Oryctolagus cuniculus: one gene and its partner. The protein of the gene in region 1 interacts with the protein of each later gene in a pairwise test. Links are inferred from orthologs where the notes say so. Each region holds a gene or a part of one and is shown on either strand. Other genes may lie near its edges. The genes, in order: ALDOA and ENO3.

The links.
Region 2: the proteins of ALDOA (region 1) and ENO3 interact in a two-hybrid assay, tested with the Homo sapiens proteins (2 studies listed by BioGRID and IntAct, with this or other methods). The link is inferred for Oryctolagus cuniculus from reciprocal best matches to the Homo sapiens genes ALDOA and ENO3.

The regions. Positions count from the first base shown.
Region 1 is NC_091450.1:7,438,156-7,442,053, reverse strand, and holds the start of ALDOA (fructose-bisphosphate aldolase A), read right to left. Parts: upstream 2,588-3,898; 5' UTR 2,548-2,587; exon of another isoform or gene 2,547-2,547; intron 2,533-2,546; exon of another isoform or gene 1,365-2,532; intron 1,222-1,364; exon of another isoform or gene 993-1,221; intron 408-992; exon of another isoform or gene 395-407; coding exon of another isoform or gene 248-394; intron 88-247; 5' UTR 86-87; coding exon of another isoform or gene 68-85; coding exon 1-67. Other genes in the region: uncharacterized protein, read right to left, coding at 3,422-3,535. UniProt on the Homo sapiens protein: Catalyzes the reversible conversion of beta-D-fructose 1,6-bisphosphate (FBP) into two triose phosphate and plays a key role in glycolysis and gluconeogenesis. In addition, may also function as scaffolding protein.
Region 2 is NC_091448.1:51,283,594-51,287,456, reverse strand, and holds the start of ENO3 (beta-enolase), read left to right. Parts: upstream 1-859; 5' UTR 860-903; exon of another isoform or gene 904-908; intron 909-1,442; 5' UTR 1,443-1,444; coding exon 1,445-1,529; intron 1,530-1,787; coding exon 1,788-1,883; intron 1,884-1,995; coding exon 1,996-2,054; exon of another isoform or gene 2,055-2,058; intron 2,059-2,181; coding exon 2,182-2,251; coding exon of another isoform or gene 2,252-2,288; intron 2,289-2,593; coding exon 2,594-2,727; intron 2,728-3,849; coding exon of another isoform or gene 3,850-3,863. UniProt on the Homo sapiens protein: Glycolytic enzyme that catalyzes the conversion of 2-phosphoglycerate to phosphoenolpyruvate. Appears to have a function in striated muscle development and regeneration.

The DNA of each region.
Region 1 (3,898 bases):
TGCGGTGGGCGATGTCGGACAGCTCCTTCTTCTGCTCCGGGGTCAGCGCTGGATGGGAGTGAGGCATGGTGCTGGTAGCAAGTTCCTGGGTAAGACAGGCAGGCAGGACCGGTGAGCTGAGCCTTCCCACGGGCTGCCAGTGAGCGGGGCCCCCTTGCCTGGAGGTCAGGGCAAACGTTCCCTACCTCCCCTGCCCCACACCCGGCAGGTCCTGGGGTACTTCCTGTCCCCAGCCTGCCGCCTGTACCTGTCCTAACTCTGTCTGTTGCTGGGTGTTGCCCAGCTGAGGCTGAGGGTGGGGTTGCCCACTGGCACCCGGGGGAAAGGAAAAAGCCAGAGCCAGGGACAGGCGGGTCATGTTGAAGCTGGACCCATCTGGCTTGCGCTTTGCCATGGGGTCACCTTGCCTAGAAACAAATTGAACCAGAGTATTTTAGAGTTTCAAGGGCCTGGGCAGGGCAGAGGACCCCACCCCCTCAGAGAAGGGAAAAGTTCTGTGCTTCGACCCAGGGGCCAGATCTGAGATTAAACCCAGATCTTCGACTGCCATCTGGGCTTTGCTTCGGATCCTCCCGAGGTCCCAGGACTGACCCAGGCTCCAGTGCTTCAAGGACGTCCCAAGGTCAGGCTGTTCCCCCCAGGATGGGGGGCGGGGATTAGGAAAAGGGTGGGGGAGGGAGGTAGGAAGGTGATCGGAGGCCCAGCAAAGAGCCGCAGAGCGAGCCCAGCCCGGGGTACAGGGAAGGGGTAAGGTTTGCCCTTCTCACTGCTCATACAGGGAAAGAGTGCGTGGAGGAGCCGACAAGCGCCCCACCCCTTTCCCTGAAAAATGCTCCCGTCTGTTCGCTCGGCTGCGGCAGCTGTTCCAGGCTCAGAATCAAGGTCACCCGATAAGGAAAGATAGCAAAGTGTTAATGGGTCATCAAGCCGGGCTAAGGGGTTTCCCCTCCTAGCTGGGGCGCCCTACCTCTCGGCTGGAAACAACACCTCACCTGCGGGAACCCTGAGGCGAGAGTAAGAGCTGCCCTCCACCCCTCGCTGCCTTTGGGGACCCCCGGAGAGGCAAAGGAGCCCTAATCCTTTGCAGCCGGGGTCCCTGCAAGAATCAGGGAGGGCGTTGAGCCTCCTTCCCGTCCTGCTTCCTCCCCCGCCATGACTCAGCGCGCGGAGCTGCCGCGTTGCGCAGCAAATCGAGGGAGCTCGAGCTGGAGAGGACTGGGGGAGTCGGGGCTGGGAGCGCGCGCGCGTGTGTCGGGGGCTGGCACTGGGGAGATGCCGGGGAGGGGCGCGGATGGGGGCTCCCTGCCGACCCGTCCCTGTCCCGGGACCCTCCACGGTTCCCGGCCCTGGCGTGGGGCGCTCACCTGGCCCGGGAGGGTGGGTCTGGGCGGGCTGCAGCGGCGGCGGGCGGCGGGCTGGCGAGGGGCCGGGGGAGCGAATGCGGCGGTCGTCACCAGGACCCGCTACTGCGGCGCGTTCCGAGAGGAACGCGGCCTATTCAGCTCCCGAGGGGGCGGGGCAGGGGGCGGGCGCCGGGAGGGGCCCCTGCCTTTTAAAGGCACCGCGCCACCGTCCGCCGGGTTTTTCCTCTGCGGAGGGGGCAGGAGGCGTCCAATTGCAGGAGAGGAACCGTGTGGGAGGCCACCTCCGAGCCGCGAGGCCGGGAGGCGGCGCTTAGGTGGGTGGGTGGGGCCCCGGCGGCCGGAGCCGACGCTTCCCCCGCCCCCGTCGGACGTGACTCGGGCCACATCCCGCGGGTCGCCAGGGCCCTCCCCCCCCCCCGCTGTGTCCCCCTCCCCCAGCCTGGCACGTTCCGGGGCGCCGTGACTCAGCCGGAATTCTGGCACCCAGGCGATCGGGGGTGGGGAGCAGGGGAAAAGCGGGTGCAAGACCCGGACCAGGCCGGCGGCCGCGGACAGCCCCGCTTCCGGCCCGCGCGGTGGCGGCGTGTGTCACAGCCAGCAAAGGGAGAGGTCGGCGTGGTGGGCCTGCCTCTGGGCGCGGGGCCCATCCCTCCAGGCCGCAGGCCCGGGCTTGAGAGAGGCGGAGGCCAGGGCGCCGGGTGGATGCGCGGGGCGCGCAAGAGGGCGCGGAGGGCTGGCAGGGCTCGGAGGCGAGGCCTCTGTCCACTCGTGCCTGGCCCTGGCCGGGTGAGGCCTCCTGGCTTCCGTGCGGGGGTTCGCACCCGAGCGAGACCTCCCCGGCCTCGGTGTCGGGGTTAGCTCCCGGGCGGGGAGGGCCAACCTGGCCCGCGCCTGCGCACGCGCTCCCCGCCTGGGGCGGCCGCCGACCGCCGCCTAGTCGGGGGTGGCCACTCTAAACCAGGCTGCGCGGAAACCGACCGGCCCAAGCAAGTGTCGGGAATGCGAGCACCACAGTCCCTGGGGCCCGAATCCTTTCTCCAAAGTAAACTCCGTCCCCGAGCTGATTCGCTTCCCAGATATTTCCCCAGCTTCTTCCTCCCGGCCAGGGCCAGGTCTCCCCTCCTCATCCGGACCCCCTCGGCCCAGCCCCCCAGCCCGCTCCGTCCCCGGCTAGCGGCCCACCTGCGGCGAGGCTGTAGGAGCCGGCAGAGCCTGGTCAGCAGCGAGTGAGCGAGTCGTACCGGGGCTGGGTTATAAGGCGGCTCCTGCCCTCCCCCGAACTAATGTCCCCGACCTTCTCCCGTGACCCCTGCCCTTTCCCCGCCACGGATCCCCCGGCAGGGACCTATATTTAGGGAAACCTGAAGCCCCTGACATTCACGCCAGCTTGGGGCCCAGCGTGGGGGAAGGAGGAGGAAGCCTTGGGTCTGTCCTGGGGGAGGGGCTCCCCGCCTACTCACTGGCACTTAGAGGAAGGTTCCTCCTTGCGAGTCCAGGCTGAGGCTCCTCTTCGTCTAGAGAAACCCGTCTATGGGCTGCAATCTGTGGGGGAAGCAAAGGGGTAGGGGACTCGGGTCCTGCGAGCTCCCGCGCCTCCTGCTGGCTCCTCCTCTGCTCCCCCTCCTCCCCCAACTCAGGGCCTTGATGGTGCCGCCTGGTTGTTTTTTTTTTTTTTTTAAGAGGGAGAGCAGATGCAGGCACTGCACTCCTAAAATAACCAAGAGTGGGTGGACAGGGTGTGGTTGGGGCACCCCTACATCCTGACCCAAGGCCCAAGCTCCCCCCAGAATCTGGTGAGCTGTGCCCCCCACCCTCACCTTCAAACGTTCCAGTGTACTTGGGGAAGGGAAGAGGAGGCAGTGGAGCCCCTCTCCTGGCCCTGCAATGGAGCTGCAGTCTGGCCGGCCCAGGGCCCTGGTCCCAGGCCACTGAGCTGGGCTCAGCCATTTGCGTTTTGGGGGACCTGGAGAAAGGTGTCCAGAGGCCCCTCGGGGAGGAGGGCCGCGCGGAGCCCTGGGGGCTGGCCGCTCCCCGCAGAGGGCAGGGCCCTGGGGTCCTCATCGGAGCTTGATCTCAAAGCAGAGGCAGTTGAGGCTCTGGCAGTCCGGGAGCTGGCAGGCGCAGGCGCAGTCGCAGAGGGGGCAGCAGCTGGGGCAGCGAGGGGCCCAACCCTGAGGGAGAAAAGAGAGAGCTTGGGGGGGTGCATCAGGCGCCTCAGTCTGCCCCCCCAGGAGAGGAGGGAGGAGGGGGAGGCCTGGGCGGTCCCTGTGGAACAGAGGGTGTCACCTCCCATTGCCAACACAGCGATCCCTGCGCTGCTGAGAAATCCTGACACACGGGGTCCAGGAGCTGGAAGCGGAGACCCAGGCGTGCCCCCCTCAGACCCATTTTATGGATGAGGACCGGAGAACTGGCCCTGGTTCCTTGCTCGGATTTGGATGCCACGGCATCCAGCTTGGTGATGGGTCTCTGTGCAACTGGCAGACCAGGAAAACGCACTTTTCTGCCCTCCGTGAGAATAACACGTGGACACT
Region 2 (3,863 bases), on another chromosome or scaffold:
TGCAGCCGCCGCCCCCCGCCCCTCGCCGACCCGGAGACCCCGTTCCCTCCCGTGCTGGAACAGGCCGCCGCTCTCAGAGGGCCGCCCATCCATTCATGCGTTCGCCTGCTGACCCAACGCCATTCATTGAGGCACTGGGGCCGCGCGCCAAAGCGCCCACGGGCGGACCCGCGGCTTCCACGGGGCGACATGGGCCGGCCCGGCGCTGCTGGCCGGCGCCGCGCCAGCGCACGGGGCGCTTCTAAATTCGTCCTCGGTCCCCTCCCTCACGCCCTCGCCGGCCGGGGGAGGGCGGGAGGAGGTGGAGGCGCGAGGGGCCGCTATGAGGATCCTGAGAGGTGAGACCCTCTCGCCTTCTGGGTGGGTGGGGCTTCAGTTTTAGACCTCCCCCACCCAGGGCTGAGCCCGGCCAAACGAGCTGAGCATGTGTGGATGTCAATCCCGCAGCCCCTCTTCCAGGCCCCCTCCTCAGCCCTGCAGGGCTCAGGTTTCTCATGGCCTTTTCTAAAGGGCACTGGTTCCTCTTTAACCTTTGCAAAAGGGGAGCAGGATCCCGGAAAGGGGAAAGACCCCCCAATGTGAAGTCCCTCCCCGGCTCCTCCCAAAGGCGTGGAATTAAAAAGCAGGGAGTTTTATTGGGGGACAGAGAGAAAGGGGGTGTGTTAATCCCTGACCTTTGTGAGGGGGGCAGGTGCCCTGGGCCAAAAGGCTTCTGCTTTAGGCTATAGTGGGCACCTGGCTGCCAGCCTGGTGTGCAGGGGGGAGGATGGAGAGAGGGCGGGGCTGGCCGGGGACAGGGTGGCCCGGGGATAAATGCCCAGGCTGAGAGGGGGGTGATCTGACACTGTCCCAGCTGCCACCTAGACTCAGAGCTCCATCCAAACTCCAGCGAAGACATCCCAGGTCTGGTGAACCTTGCAGCCCCCAGCCCGAGGGTGGTGCTGGCTTGGGAGATCTCAGCATGGTTTTTTTTCCCCCTCGGGGAGCTGGCGGGGCTGGAGAGTGTGCAGGGGACAGCAGGGATGGGTAGCCAAGGGGAGTTAGGTGCAGAATCTGGAGCCCGTGGAGATGTTGGGGAGCAGGGGAATGAGAGCCAGAAAGTATCTGAGGTCTAGAGAGCGGCTGGGGCATGGGTCAGCCACCAGTGGGGAGGAAGAAGGCACAAGGGCCGCTTAGGGGAAGGCCAGGGAGCGCGGAGAGGTGCAGTGGAATCCAAGAAGTTATAAAGGAGGGGTGCCTGTTCCTTAATGGCGGGAGGGTGGAACAGGAGCTGTCCTGAGTGGGGGAGGGGGCTGCGCCAGCCTCTTTGGTCTGTGACCTTTTTGAGGGGTATTTTTAGCTCCACCACCTGCCTTCTTGGGGTGGGTTAGACTCTTAAAGGGCAAGGGATTTCTGGTTCCTCGAGGGATCAACTGTCCACGCTCGCACCTCTTGTCCTGCAGCCATGGCCATGCAGAAAATCTTCGCCCGGGAAATCCTGGACTCCAGGGGCAACCCCACGGTGGAGGTGGACCTGCACACAGCCAAGGGTAACACGGGCCCGTGAACCGGTGTGCCTCACAAGACCCCAACCGCACCTGGCCACCGCCACCCCACCCTGCTTCTGGGCCACATCCTCGCCTGTCTCTGCTCCCCCCACCCCTGCAGACTTCCTCCAGCCTGGCTTGGGGGAGCTGGGAGAGGCCCAGTCTTCTCTGCACTGTCTCCTGTCCTTGGGCACGGAGAGCGGACCGCAGCCCTTTGGGGGTGGGCGGGACTCCCGTGACCTCCTAACACCTCCTGCCCAGGCCGATTCCGAGCAGCGGTGCCCAGCGGAGCTTCCACGGGGATCTATGAAGCTCTGGAGCTGAGAGATGGAGACAAATCCCGCTACCTGGGGAAAGGTGAGGACAGAGAGGTGCAGCAGGAGGCTGTGGGCATGGGCAGAGGCCTGGCACCCAAAGCTTTGGGAGAGTCGCGGTCCTTGGACTGAGGCCTGATTGAGCTGGGTTCTAGGTGTCCTGAAGGCTGTGGAACACATCAACAAGACCCTAGGCCCTGCTCTGCTGGAAAAGGCAAGTGGAGGAGCCTGCCCCCACCACCGCACCCCCAGCGCCCCTGCTGCCTCCCCCCGGCAGCCCCTCTCCGTCTTCCCACACATGCCCTGACCTCTGCCCCACCCCTGCCAATCTGCCCTTCCAGAAACTAAGCGTCGTGGATCAAGAAAAAGTGGACAAGTTTATGATTGAGCTGGATGGGACAGAGAATAAGTGTGAGTGCAGGGCCGGAGGCTGGGAGGGGAGGCACCGGTGTGGGGGGCGGGAGCCAGACCTGGCCAGCATGACTTCTGTGTCCCACTTTTCGGGGCACACTGTAGCTGGGTGGATTTGTATTCATCCCACAGGCATTTCCTGAGGCCTGCCCTCTGCCAGGCTTGCGTGGGGCTGTGGACGCAAATGTGCAACAGACACAGTCCCCGGGGCGGGGGCCCCTGCAGCCAGGTCTCCGGGGAGAGATCTGTTAGAGCTGGGGACTCTTCCCGGGGTGGCTGGAGATCACCCCAATCCCTGCAAGAGACGTGCTCACCCTTTCTTCCCCACTTGCCTCCTTCCAGCCAAGTTTGGGGCCAATGCCATCCTGGGCGTGTCCTTGGCCGTGTGTAAGGCTGGAGCGGCAGAGAAGGGGGTCCCGCTCTACCGACACATCGCAGACCTCGCTGGGAACCATGACCTCGTGCTCCCAGTGCCTGTGAGTGCAGCTTCCCACTCCCAAGACCGAGCCCCCCCCCCCCCCCCCCAGTGAGGGGTGCTTAGGCAGCCCTTGGAAAATCCACCTTTCAGACTCAGCTCCAAAGAAGTGGTTTCCTGAAACCGAATCTCCCCACCCCTCCCTCTTTCCCACAATCCAAACCTTCCCTTCCCTTGCCATGCAACCCGGTTCCTTCACATTCCAATCCCAGCCTTGCTAACTCTGACCTCATTCCACCCCTGCACCCCATCCCCCAAGTGAGTGCGCCAGCTTCTTTGACATGGATCTTGACATTTCTCTATATCTCCTTTAAAAAGAAATCGTTTTTATTTATTTGAAAGGCAGAGTGTCAGAGAGAGAGTTTCCATCCACTTGTTCACTCCCCTAATGGCTGCAACAGCTAACGCTGGGCCAGGCTGAAACCATGAGCCAAGAACTCCATCCAGGTCTCCCACACACAGGTCAGGGGCCCAAGCACTTGGGCCATCTTCCGATGCCTTCCCAGGCCCATTAGCAGGGAACTGGATGGGAAGTGGAGCAGCCAGGACTCGAACCCACACCTTCCCGTGGGTTCCTTATTATTAAACTAATAATAAGGAGTTTAATAAGTTTAATAAGGAGTCCTTATTAAACTAATGACCTTAGTGGGGACCCCTTGAACCTGGCTTACTAGGAGGACTGTACCAGAGCATGGATGCCAGACAGACTGCCTGTTTCTTAGAGCCGTCTCAGGAAGGTTGTGTAACCTCTCTCTGTCTCAGTTTCCTTGTGGGAAAATGAGGAGTAGGAACAGTACCCGGCTGAGTGATGTTTTGAGCCGGAAATGAGCCAGTGGATGTAGAGCACTTAAAACACTGCCATAAAGTGCTGGCTGTCTCACTCACCAGGCGCATGCTAGGAGCTTCATATTCTGTTTCACTAATGCTATTATTTTACAATTTTTAAAAACATCTTTGTCACTTTTTTCCCACTAATTTTCAGCGACAGATTCTGCAGGGAGGTTATTTACTTCCTCCTTTTTTCTAGAAGTGAGGGAAGAGGCTCTGGGGAGCAAAGTTACTCACGGTAGACCACTTAGCCAGCAAGCCGGAGGCCGGGATTCCACCTCCGCCCCTCCCCCAGCCCTGGCTCAGGCC